2 linked regions of the Tamandua tetradactyla genome follow. The protein of the gene in region 2 purifies or fractionates together with the protein of the main gene of each other region. This does not show direct contact. Links are inferred from orthologs where the notes say so. Each region holds a gene or a part of one and is shown on either strand. Other genes may lie near its edges.

Region 1 (8,685 bases), on a different chromosome or scaffold from region 2:
TGGGGCGGGGGGGGGGGGTAAAAGGCAGTAAGAGAATTTTAAAGGGGGTAAGATCACATTCCCTGTATGGAAATCACCCTTCAACAAATTTATCTTCGTCACTGAACTTAAGAATCCTAAAATACCACTCCTTACTAGGAGTCTTTTGATAGACAAACATTTAAGCTTATGGTTGCTTATGAATTTTACATAGACATAGTAAAAATTTTATGAGAAAACCAAGCTATGACCAAATCCTTTTTGAAATAGATGTGAAATATAAATAACACAGAGCCTTCTTTCCTTTGATATTGCATTCCTTTAGGAATTTGTATACTTTTATTATTTTTCTAGAGATTAATTTTCCCAGACTTTAGAAAAGGCTTTTTAAAATTTACTTCACTCTCATGCAGGATATTCACACGAAAAGGTTCAACTGTGATTTTATGAGCACCCCCTAAATAAGTTTACAAAACACATATAACCACCATTAGCCTTAATTTTTTTAGTCTGAAATGCTCTCAAGGTCTATTTACCGACATAGGAAGAACTACAGTATTTGTTATTATCTTGTCACTCTAATCCTATCTTAATTCACTAATAGCCTGCAATTACCTGCCTTTCACCACTAGATGGGTGTCCTGGATGAATTTAAAAACTTTAAAATAGAATAAGGTGTTGAATATGTACTATCATATCAATCATACTTTACATGGCATTCCTTATGTTGAAATATAGATGCAAACTTGAAAAGTTGGATTTAAAAACAATTTACCTTTCTTTCTTTGCTTTGTATATATGTCATACTATACAATAAAAAAAAATTTTTAAATCTCAATTAAGTCAGAGCTCTACAGAAAACCAAATAAATGGCTCTGCTCTATGTGTGAGGTTCAAGTTAAACAACAACGACGACGACGACCTACTGTATTTTGAAGTGCTCTTTTATGAGAATGTGGTAACTTTAAAAAATGCTTATCATCCCACCCACTAAACTGTCAATGGAGTGATGGGTACGATCACATTTGTTTGAAACAGTGCAAAATAAAGTTAATGCATGGGAGAATGGATCCACTTTTGGCTCTAAACACTTAAAAAAAAATGGGTGTACTTAAAAAGGAAAGCTATTGTATTCCACCTAGTTGCAAGTATCATACTGTAATTTCATATCCATGATTTAGCCTTCACTTTATTACTCAAACAATATTTCCCACCCGAACCCTCCAGGTTCAGTCTCTGTCCAGAAACTAGAAATACCCCACAAATCATACACTTTGAAATCCAAAAGAAAATAAACTTTAAAACATGGATGTTTTGAAGAGGGGCTGAAGTCATCTCAAATTCTTTAAATGCTCTCAATACTCTTAAATTTCCAACTTTCTCATTGCCTACAGGAACACACTAAGCCCAGCTAGGACTTTTTTTAAAAACCACCTTCTCAATCCCTTTTGTTCTCCTCCCACTTCCTGTCAAGTCATCCACACCTACAAGCTACTACATCAAGTCAATTTACTCCCCAAATTTCATACTCTGCATAATCCAAACAATTCTAGACTGGATTAAAGGAAGTGTATGTCTAAAGAACACTCATTTTCTTATTACAGACCCCTAAAATAAAAGACAGTTCCTGACCCCACAGGAGATGAAGATTCTCAATAGCAGAAACAAGAAAAAAGTATGGATTAAACTTTCCAGAGAGAATGAAGTGTAGTAGAGCAGTAGATGCAGAGCCAATTAACAAATTAATTCCTTTCAGAAGCCATTATCATTTCCGATTTGTACCTTAGAAAGTTGTGATTACATGCGAACAGAGCAAGCAAAATTCAAATAGTCAAGGTTTTTCAACTTCTTTTGTATGTGCCGATTAGTCTAACTTCTCTAATCAATCAGTTGTCCTCAAAGATCCTACCCATAGAAGTTTACTACAAATTCACAATTCAAATAAAATGCTGAAAATACAAACAGTTGCTAGCCTGCTCTTTCCATACATACCGGAATCTTCAGTTCTATCGTTAGTCCCTCTTGGTGACAAGAGTAGTCTTCTACACTATTTCCTTTCCTCTAGTTTATATGAGAACCCCATATAACTGCGTAATGAAGTTTACTATCAAATTATCTTTTAAAACAACAAAAAAAGACACTACTCCAAAAACCTTTTTCGAGATAATAAAAAGTTTGCAATTACCACTTCTTGTGTCAACGAAACTTCTTTCCTTACTTGGGCAAAAGCTGCTATCCTTATAAAAACTACAGTACGGGTTTGTTGTTTGTTTTTAAGTGAAACAAAGCAAATAAACCTCTTCTGTGAGTTGAAAGGCCGTTTGCTGACCAAGAAACGGAAAAATCAGTCGGTAGTTCTATAAAGGGGGCTTTCGCATCCCCACCACCCGCTTCCTGTGCTCCATACTTGGCAGCACTATCTACCATATGAATTCTGCTCTTTTCCGAACCGATAAAGATTGGCTGATTTTGGCTTCAGAGTCAACTACAAAAGAGCTTAAAAGGAAATTAAAAAGCTCCTCGCCCTTCAACCCCTTTCCATTGATAAAAAAGAGAAAAGAAAGAGAAGTCGAGAGAGACAACGTTTCCGCACAACAGGGATAAGAGAGAAAAGCCTGAAACAGGAGCCCAGGCCCTCGCCGCCGTCGCCCGGGTGTCCCTCGCACGGGCCCCACCCCCAACCGCCAACCCCGAGGAGGAAGGGAGCCCTGTATGGAGCAAGGACACCAGAGGCCCGCAGCGCCGGCCGAGAAGGGAGAAGCGGCGCCGACTCGACTCCGGGGCGGTCATCCCAGCTCACTGCTTCGAAACGAGTACGAATCGTCAGGCCTTTATTCCTTTCCCTCAACCCACCCTACTCCCAAAGGCCAGCCAGCGCCGCGACACCTGGGTCATCCACCACACACATGCTGTTGCTAAGGCGCCGGGTCAAGTCAGCCACTAGCCGGGGCTCAGAGGCAGTGCCCTCGTCCCCAAACCTCCCCCGCAGCCTGGGAGGTCGTTCCCTTACCAGAGGAGGTTGGCAGCCAGCGGCAGGAAGGAAGAGAAGCTGGGCGGCGAGGCCCGTGGTCTCCCCTCAGCTCCGTCACGGCTGGTACTGCTGGAGGCGGTGGCAGCGATTCCTCGCGCTTTTCTTTCTCTCCCTTTCTCCAACAACAAACAGGAAGTACGTCAGGCGTCGGGCAGCGCGGCGACGCTCGACTTCCGCCCGACCATTAATGTGCGGAGGCAGCCGCAGCTGCGGTTGCTGCCACGAGGTTAAAAACCTCTTCTGCCTCGTTCCCTGTCCCCCCTCCCGGTGCCTTCCCGAAAATTCTTCGTGCTTTCCCCAGCGAGCGCCATCTGCCGGTTTGGGAGTCGTGCTGGGGGGGTCTCACGCTTTGCAATGCGGTGGACTTGGAGGAACGCCACAGCGGATTTGAGTACATGGTTCGTGTCCTCAGTCTGGTGGGCCACTGAAAGGCCTCTCTGAGAAGCTCAGGAGGACGCACCGCCCCAATTGGGACGGCCTCTCCCCACTTCTAACTTCACGGAGGAATCAGTGACGGTTAAGGGCGGCGGGCAAGCGGAGACGGACATTGGAAGTTGGCGCACTTCTGCAAGGTGACGGTGTGGGGTGCGGGAAACCAGTCGCCCTCACCCGCGTCTGATTGAGAGAACCCGGCAGCTGTGCTGAAGTACCCTGTGCTTTATTCATTGACCGATTGTTGGGAGAGCCACTGAGCTCATTACTCGGATGGGGTTACCACCAGGGACAGTCTCCCACAAAGAGATTATAATTTAATAAGAGCAATGAATATGTAATTGGGGAAGAAGGGAAAAGAAAAACTATTTGAGGTCCCAGCACTGAGTGCCTTTAGAGCCGAAACTGAAATCGTGAGCTAAGCAAGGCCAGAGGAAACTTGATGACAGTACCCAGCCCCAAGTTGAAAGGTGTCTTGGTTAGAATAGAAGAAACAAGGGATCTTTCTCGCTGGTTTTTCCCTCGTGGGCATGCAGCTCCAGCGTCTGAACCTCCTGGGTGCTTTTTAAAAATGCATGTTCAGGGAGGTTTCACCCCCAGAGCTACTGAATCAGATTCCTGGACGTGACACCTGAGAGTCTGTATTGTTAAAAGGTCATGCGGCACCTACGTGAGAGTGGAACCGTCTAGCAGTAAATAAGGAGCCCGTATCCTGAAAACAGTGAAGATATAGTTATTTTACTTTTCCGTCTTTACCGATAATCTTCATTTTAAATTGTGCAAATACTATTAACCAGCCTCCTTCCCTGTTACTCTTCTCTAAAGCAGAAATAAGTTATATAGGCAAAAACCTAGAACCTAGTGTTGTCATGTCAAGGACACAAAAAATCAGGCCATGGCCACGGTTAGAAGTTGAATAACTAGGCACAGACCTTCTGGGTCAAGCTGCGGTCACCTTCCTGAGAATCACCTTAATTACTTCTTAAAATTCCCTTTGAAACCTAACTCATTGATTTGCAAGCAGTAAAACCTATAAGCTTCTCGAAGGAGTAAGCGGCTGAAAGAAATGAAAGCAAGCTGTGGCCCAAAATAATAAGGGGCAGTTTTTAAATTTTTTTGAAGTTTACAGACAATTTGGTGTGTTTTGATAGCTGAGCATTTATGGCTGTCCCGCCATGACTAAGCCTTTCCTGCATCAGCAAGGAATCTGATTCTAAGGGTAAAACCCAACACAAGAAGTTTGAAGTTAATGATTAGTTATTGATTAGTATTCCTGTAAGAATAAAAAATGCTGTGGTCTCAAGTACTGAAAAAAGTCTCCACAAATCCAAGGTTCAGTGAGGCCCACGAGCAGTTAAATCCATGAATCCTAGTCCAGATTTCTGTTTTTACTCTATAATATCAAGCCAAACCTTTGTCTCATACCTCGGTGTCTTTGTCCTAGTCCACTTAATTGTTTCCTTTGAAAATAAAAAAAGCTCTTTGCCATGTACTTCACAAACTTAAAGTGCTACAGATATGCTAGTGTTGATTTCCAGTGGCCAGTTTTTCAGACACACTGAACAACATGCTGAATTCTCCTTCACCTATGTTCTTTAAATACTTGGAGGAAAGGCACTTTTTTTTTATACTTTCCATTGATAATAGCTGCTTAATGACCCGTTTTAGGAATCTGGAACACTTAACTGTTAAGTAGGCATGGTTCTACTTTTTCTATTTCACAAAAGATTGCTTTATATTCTTTGTTCATTTTTTGTTTTTGCTAAGCCTTTATTGTATTACCTGATATGTAGTTTTTAGCAAATGATCATCAAAATATATTTATATTTTTATCAAAGTCAATTCTCTGTTTTTTTAGTAGGTTATGATTCCCAATCAAAAGAAATGAGTAATACATTTGATTTAGTTTGGACATCTCATGATAAAGCCTAAGATAATCTTAGCAGAAACTGGAATTTCATTCAGATATATGAACAGTTTGGCACTGTCACATGTAAACATGTCTGCCACAGCAAGTTGATGAACTTTTATTTTTCTTCAAGTGTTGACAGTATTATCATCTGACACTTCACATTTAAATAAATTCCTTACAGCAAGTGTGAGATAATCTTAAAATGCAGACAGCACAGAGACGTGAATTTTAAATAGTAAGTGCAGGCTAACCACAAATAACATCCTCCCTCCCCCCCCCCAAAAAATCAAAAATTTATTAAAACACTTGTTAACGCAGTGAACTGTATTATGAGAAAAAACAACTGGTATAAAACAAGGCCTCATCTCTAATGGAATCTGGAATTCACATGGTAGATGAAGAGAACAGGTGTAAACACCTTCAAAATTAAATAACATGGCAATATTTAAATAGCTCTTTGCAAAACAAAGGAGAAGATCTTACAGCGTCAAGGTTTTATTCTCACATTAACACTAAGCCAAATGGTGGTGCTAGTGGGAAACTAAGTTTAGAGGGAGATGATCACTCTGAGGTAGGGCAGTCCTATGAGAGGAAGGATTTAAAATGGGGTGAAAAGAAATTGGTGACCTTAAGGAAACAAGGTGCAAAGTGAGCAAGCTGCTTTGAAGCAAAGCATCTAAACAGGAATAGTGAAAGACAGAGATTGAAAGTTATAAAAACTGAGAACCATCTAGACGATGGGAAAACATAGAAGAGGTTGAAGCAAGGGTATGAGATGATCGAAGTCAAACAATGACAAATCTGTGATTTGCAAAATGTGTAGAAAAGTAGAGACCAGTCATTCTCCATGGCTTTGTTTCCTAATCTGTAAAATGGGGATAATTGGCTTGATGTGAAGATTAATTGTATGTGCTTAACTTAGTTCCTGGAACATAGTAATACTCTAAATAATAATCATTCTATGTTCCAGGCCTCCGAAAAACTGATAAAAATTATAGACTCTCCCCAGAAAAATAGGCAATATGAGGGGATCCATCAGTCTCGGGACCCCGGGTAAGCATTCTGAATTGCAGCTTGGTGATTTTTAAACTGAAATGTGCTTTTGAAAAAAGACACAAGGTGTCTTTTTTATTTGCAAAGTTGATTACAACTTTGCAAATAATCAGTACCACCTTACCGCAAAATACCACTCAGCCCTTTAAAAAAATGTGGTTATATTTATTGACATAAAACATATCTAAAATACATTACTGAAACAGAGCTTGTATAGTATCCCATTTTTGCAAAATTGTGTTCATTTATGCATATATATATATGCATACACATGCATTAAACTGGGAAGAATATTCAGCAAATTGCTGAAAATGCTTATACTAGATAGTGAGATTTCAGATAGTTCTTCCTTTCCTTGTGATTCTTGTGTTTGAACTTTTTATTTTATTATTTTTCAAACCATTAAGAATAATTTTTATAAAAGTACTATGAGTGACAAAAGTCCATCCAAGAGGCCTATGTAGTATGTGAGGTGGTACGAAGTTGAAATGAAATTGTGGGACAAGCAAGAGAAATATGTTTTCATTTATTCATTTATTGAATACCTACTATATTCCAGCATTTTGCTGGACTTTAGGCATAAATCAAAGAAACATGACTCTTTCTCTCCAGGAGCTTAGAGTTTAGGTTGGTTTGGTTTGGTTTATGCGGTTTTATTTTGTTGTTTCTGTTTTTTTGTCTATGTGTTTTTATCATTAAGATATTTGTGCATATTTCTGATCAAAGGACCCAGTGGAAGAGATGGAATTGAAGATGCTGGAGAGCAAGCAATAGTTAAAGGAGTTAAGTCCCAGAGTAGGCATGAAGATATGGAACCAGGTACAGGGATAGAGGAACTAACTTTGAAAAAGAGGATTTACACTTCTTCTTTCAAAACAGGAAAATGAAAGGGATCAGTAAGGGGTATGGCCTGTAAATTTTTTTTTTTCTGTTTGTTATATTTTTCTGTTGTCTTTTTATTTCTTTTTCTGAATTGATGCTAATGTTCTGAGAAATGATCATGATGATGAATATGCAACTATGTGATGATATTGTGAATTGCTGATTGTATGTGTTGGGAATGTTTGTTTCTTGTAATTTTTTTAATTAATAAAAAATTTTAAAAAAAACAGGAAAAAAGAAAAGATAGAGAACAGATAAGATGTGGAAATTCTAATGGCCAAGATTTTCTCAATATGGGAGGCCTTGAGAAAATGGATGAATTTGGAAGAACAATTGTGGGGAGTGTTAGGGATTAAAATACATAGTTAAATTTTAAAAGGTGAAGCACTAGAGAAGATTGTTTAGACTTCTCAAAAGAAAAAAGGAGTAGAGAAAAATTTCATTAACACTTCAAATACTTACATTGCTCATAGAATATTTTTCTTCTTCAGGTGAGTGGAAAAAGAACAGTTTTTGTTCAGAGGCCAGAGAATAAAAATAGGTGTTTTTAAGTAATTACCACGTTGATGTGGTGCATGAATTTATTTTTGTGCCATGCATCCTAAATGACCAGTAAAACTTTAATGTTGATGTTGCTATGATTTTAACCGAGCTAACAAGCCTCAGTTTCCCCATCTGTAAATTAGAAATAATGATACTTAACGTAACCTATATAGGCGTTGGAAATAATTAGTTCTTTGAGCTCCTCAGATAAAAGGTATCATGAAAGCACAGGGCATTATATTATATGAGAAATGGGATATTTCACATACATATATGTTTCTCAAATGAATATTCTGCCTTCAAAGCCTCAAAGGAATATATGTAAATCAAAAATCTCAAAGAATATCCAAGATGTCATGACCTTTGAAGAATCTTACATATATATGTGCTTTACTTTAGGTTCCTGCCTTCAAAACAAATTGCCCAGAGTTTGTACTAAAAATGTCAGTTTAGTTCCTGATTAGTCAAACATAACAACAAGAACTTTAGTGTATTATAGATTATTCAGTTCTAGCTACACATATATTTTTAGAAATCATTTTATCTTATTATCAAGATAAATTCCTAAATAAAAAAAAAAGGGAGGAACAGGTTGTATATTGTGCTACCTTTTATGTAAAAAGGTGGGAAGAATAAAAATACCTTGTATTTGCGTATGAAACTCTGGAATTATATCCAAAGCACTAGGGAAGAAGAGATTACAGGAAGAACTGGACAGAGGTACAAATGAAATGGTTCACAGAATATTTTTCTGTTGTTTTAAATTTTGAACTATGTGAATATGTTATTTATTCAAAAATTTAAAAATTAGGGCGGGCCATGGTGGCTCAGCAGGCAAGAATGCTTGCCTGCC
Region 2 (8,163 bases):
AGACCTAAGTCTCCTGCTTCCTCAATCTTTTCCAGGTAGTGCAAAGACCCCTGTGTCCACTCTTAGATTCTCAAGAAGCTCCCTCGGGCCCTGGGGCAGGATTCCCATTCTCTGCCTCTCCATCTCCCAGGAATTTTCCACTGCAGCTGCCTCCGCTCCCAGACACCCCTCCCTGGGCAAAATTCCCGGCTCTCTCCGCCCCCCCTCCCCTGATCACACCTCATTCCCACCCCCGGGCCCTGAGGCCCAGCCCACAGTCCAGCCCACAGCACACTAACCCTGATGGTCCCAGTTAGAGGAATGGGAGGCCAGGCCACTTATAGAAGGGTGAGAGGGAGGGTCCCTAGCTCTCTCCAGGGCCGGGAGACGGGACATTGGAGAGGCTGGTCCCCAATGGGGCTGGAGTGGGGGGAGTGGCCCTCCTCACATCCCCATATAAGGCAGGGCAAGGAGTTAGGCTTCTGGATTGGCTGATTCAAATGAGCATTCCACCTGGCAACAGGGTTTCTATTGGTTCTCAGGAAAAATAGGAGGAAGGTGGATGGAGGTTGTTGGTGGCGGTGATTGGAGGGGGGAGGGGAATGGAGGTGACCGGAGTGGGGGGCGGTTACCAGGACAACGGGGTAAGAGCCCAGCAGGGTGTCCGAGACCGCAGGCGGGGCTGGGAGGTGGAAAGCAGGGAGGGGGAAGGAGGGCAGGGAGGAGAGGAAAGAGAGACTGATGGGGAGGGAGAGAGACAGGGATACTATGGGGGGGGGGGAGAGCGAAGGAGGGGGGAGAAGAAGAGAAATGAAGCAAGAGAGGGGAACAGAGATGGAGACGGTGAGAGATCACTAAAGAATCAGCGAGTGAGTCAGAAAAACAGACTGCGAGAGGAAAATGGAAAGATCTCCGAGAAAAGATGGGCAGAGTCGGGCAGGGAAAAACTCGGGTGGAGCCCAAAGATCTTTGAGGAGACCGAGACTTAGAAACTAACAGAAGAGTCTTAAAGAGAAATTGGGAAGTGTGTACATCAAGGGATCAAAAGATGGTGTATTTAAGCACGCAAATACTAAATAATGATGATGATTGATCAAAGTTTATTAAGAAATGGAAATGATAAAGATGAAGTATAATGATGGTGACAAATTCAGAATGCCTTCTACTTCAACCACCTTCCTGACCTTTAATACATGCCCCCCCCCCTCGGTCCCTGTCCTCTCCTGAAATCCCAAGCTTCTCAAAATGACCCCAGGAGGCTGAGGCTGAGGAGCTGAGCATGTGTGAAACAGGTGGGGGCTGGACCTCCAAACCTGGACCCCTTGCCAAGGAGGCAAATACAACATAGAAAGGCCTGGGGAAGATGGCAGCAGAGGAAGGGACATGAAGAGTTGAGGAAAATCAGTCAAAAGGCCAGGTGACAAAGTCAGATAAGACAAGAACAGGAAAGAAAGCAGAGATGGGAGGGTAAAGGAGAAGAGGACAGGAGGTGATAGAAGAATAAGATACAGATATAAATGGTGGTAAAGGAGGGAGTCTGGGAACAGAGAAAAGAAGTGGGAAGAAGAAAATAGAAGAACCACGCAAAGAAAACTGAGGTGAGAGGGGTGGAAGTTCGGGTAGAGGTGGGCCGAGCAAAGGAGACTGGGGGTCCTCGGACTGCCCTTCGATCCCGAGGAAGAGCCAGGAAAGGAGGACCGCCGAATGTCAGTTTCGGGAGAGAAAGAAGGGTGGGCTGCCTTTTCTGCGCTCCCATCCTCTCTCAAGGCCACCACGAGATAATGTAGACCAAGGATGAGAGGGGCAATCCAGCGTTGATGTGGAAGTAGCTCTCCCACCCTCTTCCTCTTCTTTAAGCTTTTGGTTTTTTCAGATACCTGCCCTGCCTTTCCCTTTACCCCTTGGCAAAATTTCAGGGTTTTGGGGGGTCAGTAGGACTCTAGCCACCCCTCCAGCCCGCCCTCAAAAGATAGACTCTACATTCGCAGGCAGTAGGTTAGGATTCGAAGAGATCCCTCCCTGCAGGAACCCCACCCCTTCCCACCTCCGCGCCCCACTCCTCTTTCTCAGCGACTGTCAGTCTCTCGATTTCCCCCTCCCGATCCCGTCTTCCCTCCCGCCTCTCTCGCTCTCCCTCCCCTAGCTTTCATCCTCCTATCCCCACCTCTCCAACCTCCTCTTCCATCCCCCTCCCCTTCCCTCCCCTCCCCTCTCCTCTCCTCCCAGCTCCAGCCTGCCCCACCCCTGGGAAGCCCCTCCCGTCGGGCAGCGCCGCCTTATAAGCGGGTTCTCTTCCCGGGGGCGGCAGCGGCTGGTCGGCGGCAGCTCTGCTGGTGCGTGGGTGGCGAGCCGAAGACTGAGCGACCGCGGCCAGAGCGCGCCGGCCATCGCCCGCACCGCCCTTTCGCCCGCCCTCCGGACGGCCGCAGCCCTGCGGGTCTCCGCTCCAGACCCACCCCCGCCCCACCCCGCGCGCCTCTGCCGCCTCTTCCAGAAACCCAGCTTGCTGAGCGGCCGCCGCTGCCGCTGTCGCCGCCGCCACCGCGCCAGGTTCCGGCCGCGGCCACTCTTCGCCGTCCAGGGCTCCTTCGTCCCGGCCCCGGGACCCCGGCTCCCCGCCAGCTCCGGCCCCGGCCCCGGCACCATGTCGGAGAAGAGCGTGGAGGCAGCGGCCGAGCTGAGCGCCAAGGTACGGGCGGGGGCAGCGGCAGGCCGGGACCCCGCGCGTCCCCGGGCTTCGCTCGGCTTTGCCCTCCGCCCCCAGGCCTCCCCCGACGGCCCCGTGCGGCCCTAGCGCCCAGGTCCCGGCGGACCCCGCCGCGCCCTGCCCCCCCGCTCCCCAGCCTGGCGCTGCCGACCCCGCTCCGCGCGGCTCCCGCCAGCGCCCTCTAGCTTCCCCGCGCGCGCCGCGCCTCCGGCCTCGCCGCTCGAGTCGGCGCTCGGCCCCGCCGCGGTCCCCACCCCTCGGCCGCCTGGCCCAACCTTGCCGCCCTCTACCCCGTCTGGTTTCCCGTCGGCGCTCTCGGCGGCTCACTTCACCGCGCTCCCTCTCCTGCTCTTCCCCATCCCGCGCCTGGTTTTCCGTCTCTTTCCATGCTGACCTCACCTTTCCTCCTGCTAAGCGGTTTGAGATCCTCAAGTGTAAACAGGACTCTCCCGGGAGGCTACTCCTCTCGGCCCCTCCCCTCGCGGCCCGACCGTCTCGCTTCCCTCCCCCGATAGCTACTGCCTCCTTTCCTTCCGTCTACACACATTCCCTCTCCTCCACTGGCTTTCCTTTCTCTCCGTTTGCTCCCACTCCCCCCGACTTAAAGAATCTTGAATTCCTACAAAATTCGAAGAGGGGCAGACATAGCCTTCGAAAAAGCTGAGGCTCGGCATTGCTTGGAGCTGCCCTTAACCTCATGAGCTCCCCGCCCGGCTCCGCACCTTTGCCCTTGCCTCTCTTCCTGCCGCCTTCTAATTTCCCTAGGGGACGCGTGGAGTGTCGCTTTGGGAAATTAATGCCGCCGGGGTTTGGGGGCTGGGGGCCCGACCTTGGTGTAGGGGGGTGGTGTGAGGAGCTGGCACACAGGCGGCCCCGAGCCCTTAGAGGTAAAAAGGGAGAACCTGTGGGATTAAAAACGTGGGAGACGGGTGTGTTTGCTATCGCACAAGGTGTGCCTGGATGGCCCTCCGGTTCGGTATAAGTGTGTGTGGTGGCATGTGACTTAATTGAGTAGGTGTCTTTGTATGTCTGAAATCCAGCAAGCGTGTGGGACTGCCCGTGTCACTTACGTGTGTGCATGTGGAGATGTCATGCTCTGGAGCTATGTTGCTGCTTTGTGAGTGCCAAGTGGCTCTGCTGTGCTCTGGTGCTGTCTCCAGAGTGAGTGCCAGAATGCCCAAACACCGGGCCATGTGTCTCCAGATTGTGTGGGCGCGCTATCCATTGCTGCTCTTCTGAATCGGTGTCAGTCTGTGTCAGTGTGTGGGCCTGTGTTGAGTAAATGAGGCCAGAGAGCTGATTAGCACAAGACCTAGGGCTTAGGTCACATACCCTTCTGGAAGGGGGATCATAGAAGGACAGTGACCAGAAGGACAGGTCAGGGGAGGAGAGATCCCGGCCCCTTGGACTTTGGACTCTGGTATTCACCCTCCCTCTCTTGCACTCCCCCTCCTTCCATCAGCCCAGACAACAAACTCAGGCCAGGGCAATATAGAGGTCTGGGCCCCCCAGAGAGAGGTTGACTAGCTCCAGGATCTTCTGTCCCAGGTGGTAAGGAAAAGCCCACAGAATAGAAGTGCCACACCAATGATATGGCAAAGAAATGGGGACAGTGAAGTAGGATGAAGAAGAAATGTAGTGGGGGAGAGAAGGTGAAGTTTTCTGTGCTGCCCCCCCCCCCCCCTTACAGGGGAAGGGAATTGAGTGTCCCCCCGGGCCAGCAAATTGTCATCTACTAATCCCTTTCTTATCCCCCATCCTGTTCCAGAAAGGACACATTTGCCCTGGGCGATCTGCTCACACAGAAAACTTCCCTCCACAAGGAATCAGATACATGCAGTTGCACATCAACACCAGATCAGATCACACAGGGACACCCACAGTGTCACTCGGTGCCTGCCAAGGGGTGGGGCGGGGAGAGGACTGGAATCTGAACTGGAAGGGCAGGTGCAGTGTCCACAGGGGACTTCTCCATGAGCATCGACCTCCTCTGCCACATCAGAATAGAACATCAGGCCTTTGCCTGCTGGGATCTTGTGGTTTGGAGGAGAGGGGGCAGTGGTGGAAGGCTGGGAGGATACTCCGAATGGGGACCTCCCTGTCTGCATTCCCATCCCACCTCAGACATGGGCCTTGTTTTTTTCTTCTCTCTCTCTTCGTCTTCCATGGCTGATGTTCTTTCCCTTCCGTTCCTTTTATCCTATTTTTCATGCATTTGCACTGGAAAAGGCTACTTTTCCCTTCCCACATACACTGCCAGGAAGTGGGGGGGGGGGGGGGTTACTATTTGGCCTTGTGTCAGCTGTTTGGGGGTAGGGGTGAGGAAAAGTAGAGGGGTATTGGTAATTGGGCTGGGGTGCTCTCCCTATTCCTATGGTGTTTGGCTGAGTAAGAGTATGAGGATTAGGGAGACAGAGAGAGAAACAAAGGCTGAAGAAGCTGGAGGGGGTAGTTTGGAGGGAGCCCAGGAGAGAGTACTCAGGAAAAGGCCCCCAATGTAGACAAAAGGCAGTGCTGGGCAGGCTGTGGGAGGGGGCAGGCAAAGGAGGTGGAGGGACATCAAGGGGGAGTAGGGCACTGAGGGCTGCAAGCAGATGGAGGGGATTTGCTTTGCTGAGCAGAACTCTCAGCCAGAGAGGTTTGGAAGAAAACTTGATGGGGGTGGGAATCAGTTACCTTGGCTGCCCACTCCCCTTTGCTTCAAGACTTTCTCTTCTGCCCGCTTTGGTCTTGGGGAAGGAGGTCTCTGGGCTCAGTCTTTACTGGCCCTAACGTAGGCATGTCTGTTCCGTCTCTACAGTGTGGCTGCAATCTCCCTTCCACTCTCCCCCAAGTTCCCTGCAGAGAATGGGCTGGAGGGAGTTGGGGGCTGCAGATCATGTGTGGCTCTCAAAGGTGACCTCTCTCTCCCTTACAGGACCTGAAGGAGAAGAAAGAGAAGGTGGAGGAGAAGGCAAGCCGGAAAGAGCGAAAGAAAGAGGTGGTGGAGGTGCGGAGGGGACAGGCGGGAGGCGGCCACACCTTCCCAGCTGCCCCCCTCCCGGGGGTCTCACCCTTCCTCACAGTTACCTTCCTGGGCTACTGGGCTCTGCCTTTCCTTGGCCCCTCCCACCCCACTGCCCCACCCTCAGGCCTTTCCCAAGTCCTTTACTCACCTGGTGCCCCTGGTTGGGATGGGATGGGAACCCACTGCCAGCCTGACCCTGCTCCCTCTCCTGGCCCCCACAGGAGGAAGAGAACGGAGCTGAGGAGGAAGAAGAAGAAACTGCCGAGGACGGCGAGGAGGAGGATGAAGGGGAAGAAGAAGGTGGGGAGGGGAAGGAGTGGCAGGGCCGGGAAAAGCAGGTCCGCACAGAACACAGTCAGGGTGGGCTCGAAGACCTGAAGCAGGGCAGAGGGCGACCTCAGGGGGTCTCTGCTGGGGCTTCCTGCCCTTCCCCAATGACCCATTTCTGGCTCCTCAGATGAGGAAGAAGAAGAAGAGGATGACGAAGGGCCCGCGCTGAAGAGAGCTGCTGAAGAGGAGGTTTGGGCTGGGTTGCGGGGCCTGAGGGGCTGTCAGGGATACAGAAGGGGCTGGAACCTCTCTGGATTCGGACCCAGATCCCTGTGGTGGCCCGGGCGGGGGCTGGAGTAGGGCTGGAACAGGGGGAGACCCCTCTCCCATTTTACAGCGCCCCCAACTCTTCCCTCTCTGCAGGATGAAGCAGATCCCAAGCGGCAGAAGACAGAAAATGGGGCATCGGCATGAGCCCCCTGCCAACGGGCTGGGGTGGGAGGCCCCTCGGGGCCTGGAGGTGGGATGGGAGCTGACAAGCCCAGCCGCTCTTCACCTGGCTCCCTGCTCTGGGCCCCACACCTGAGCGGCCACCCCCATCTATCCCCCAGCCTGTCATTTCCACCTCTTCAGACACCACCCATCTGTCCTCACTAGCCATTGTCCCACCTCCTGACCTGCTCTTCTGAGCGCCCCAGCTGGTCCCCAGTTGCTCCTCTTGACTTCCTTGATCTCTTCTCCCCTCCTCCCAGCAAAGTCCATCCCTTCTCCAGTAGCTTCGACCCACCTCTGCATCCCCCAGCCTCATTTCTTGCCCCATCCCTCTCCTGCCTGATCCCTGGGTCTCCCTCAGATCCCCTCCTCTCAGACAGCGCCAGGCCGGGGTGGGGCCGGGGTTGGGGCCGAGCCCCAGAGCTGCCCCCCTCCCCTCCCCTTTTTGTATAATTTAATAAAGAAACGGTCGCGCTTCTGTTTTTAACCTGTCTCCTGCTTTCCCGGGGCCACACCAGTGCACCCAAAAGAGTGGAGGAGGAGGGATGGTTGACCTCACATTCTGTCAGGACCTCTCCCTTCTGTGTAAGAGCAGTGGCACACTCCTACCACCTTTGACTCCAGAAGCCACGATCAGCACGCCCCATGGATGGGGAGCTTCCAGACCTTGGAGAGCTGACTTCTGTCCTGTTTTTGGTTTCTTAGGGATGCTCCTCCCAGCAATACACACACTTCCCTGCTAACCCACATACGATCTAGACACTGCTGAGCCCAGTGGAAAGCTTATCAGCTCTATTGTGCTGAACCAGGCAAATAGAAAGCCCCAGAAACAGGAAGTCCCGTCCCTGAAGTGGGAGAGGGCTTGAAGGTCTGGGTCACAGCCCCTGGGATTCAGAGTGAGAGCTGCCTGGCATCAAAGATGTCCTCTGCCTGGCACTGAGGAAGTGAGCTCCTTCCAGTTAAGCAGGGAGAGACTCCAGGCCTCTCGTGGTTCCCAGGCTTGCCACCTGCCTTGCCACCCACCCTCCAAGTCTCCCAGCTGTGCTCCTCAGGCTAGGTTGGGGATGGGGAGCAGATGTTCCCTCTCAGATCCAGGGTAGTTCCTTCTCAGTTTTGCTCCAGCTCTATACCACTTTTGTCGGTTCCTCATAGTTGAGAACCTCTGGGTTGGAGGAAGCCTCAGAGTGCTTAGGGGTCTGTGCTGGGGGTGTGGTGAAATTGAATCATTGAAACACCAACCTTCCGGAAGATGAGAAGATACCTACAAGTCAGGGTCAGGATTGTACTTGCACGCATGCACTCAGCTTTTGTCTACACACACCCTGTTTGACCTTGGCAAAGGATTTCATTTCTTTGAACATCTGTACAATGAGGGATATTAGATCGCAGGAGTTTCTGCCTGTAAGTGCCCTGGATGATGCCTAGCTCATCATGAGTGCTCATGTCATGCAGCTATTATTTTCCCCAGACTTGTGATGTCCTTCCCCAGACCTGCCATCTTTTAGGGTACAGCAAAGCTCATCTGTCTTGTTCCTAGGAGTCACTGAACTAGCAGGTGGAGAGGCAGGTCCAAGTGTGTAATGAAGTTTTGGGAGGTTAAAGGAGAGGAGGGTAGAGGAAGGGCAGGGAGGGGGCGGTGGGGAGACCCAGGGCTGAGGAAGTAAACAAGGGGAGAGCCACCACACAAGTGGAGGGTGATGCTGCTGGG

What was found.
Region 1: the proteins of MLF2 (region 2) and DNAJB6 purify together in Homo sapiens (affinity purification with mass spectrometry; 3 studies listed by BioGRID and IntAct, with this or other methods). This does not show direct contact. The link is inferred for Tamandua tetradactyla from reciprocal best matches to the Homo sapiens genes MLF2 and DNAJB6.

Annotation. Positions count from the first base shown.
Region 1 is NC_135327.1:203,494,631-203,503,315, reverse strand, and holds the start of DNAJB6 (dnaJ homolog subfamily B member 6), read right to left. Parts: upstream 3,252-8,685; 5' UTR 2,990-3,251; intron 1-2,989. UniProt on the Homo sapiens protein: Has a stimulatory effect on the ATPase activity of HSP70 in a dose-dependent and time-dependent manner and hence acts as a co-chaperone of HSP70. Plays an indispensable role in the organization of KRT8/KRT18 filaments.
Region 2 is NC_135333.1:69,054,081-69,062,243, forward strand, and holds the start of MLF2 (myeloid leukemia factor 2), read right to left. Parts: upstream 3,167-8,163; 5' UTR 3,086-3,166; intron 2,669-3,085; coding exon of another isoform or gene 2,123-2,668; intron 624-2,122; coding exon of another isoform or gene 582-623; intron 1-581. Other genes in the region: PTMS (parathymosin), read left to right, coding at 582-623, 2,123-2,668, 5,604-5,675, 5,915-5,993, 6,151-6,212, 6,387-6,437.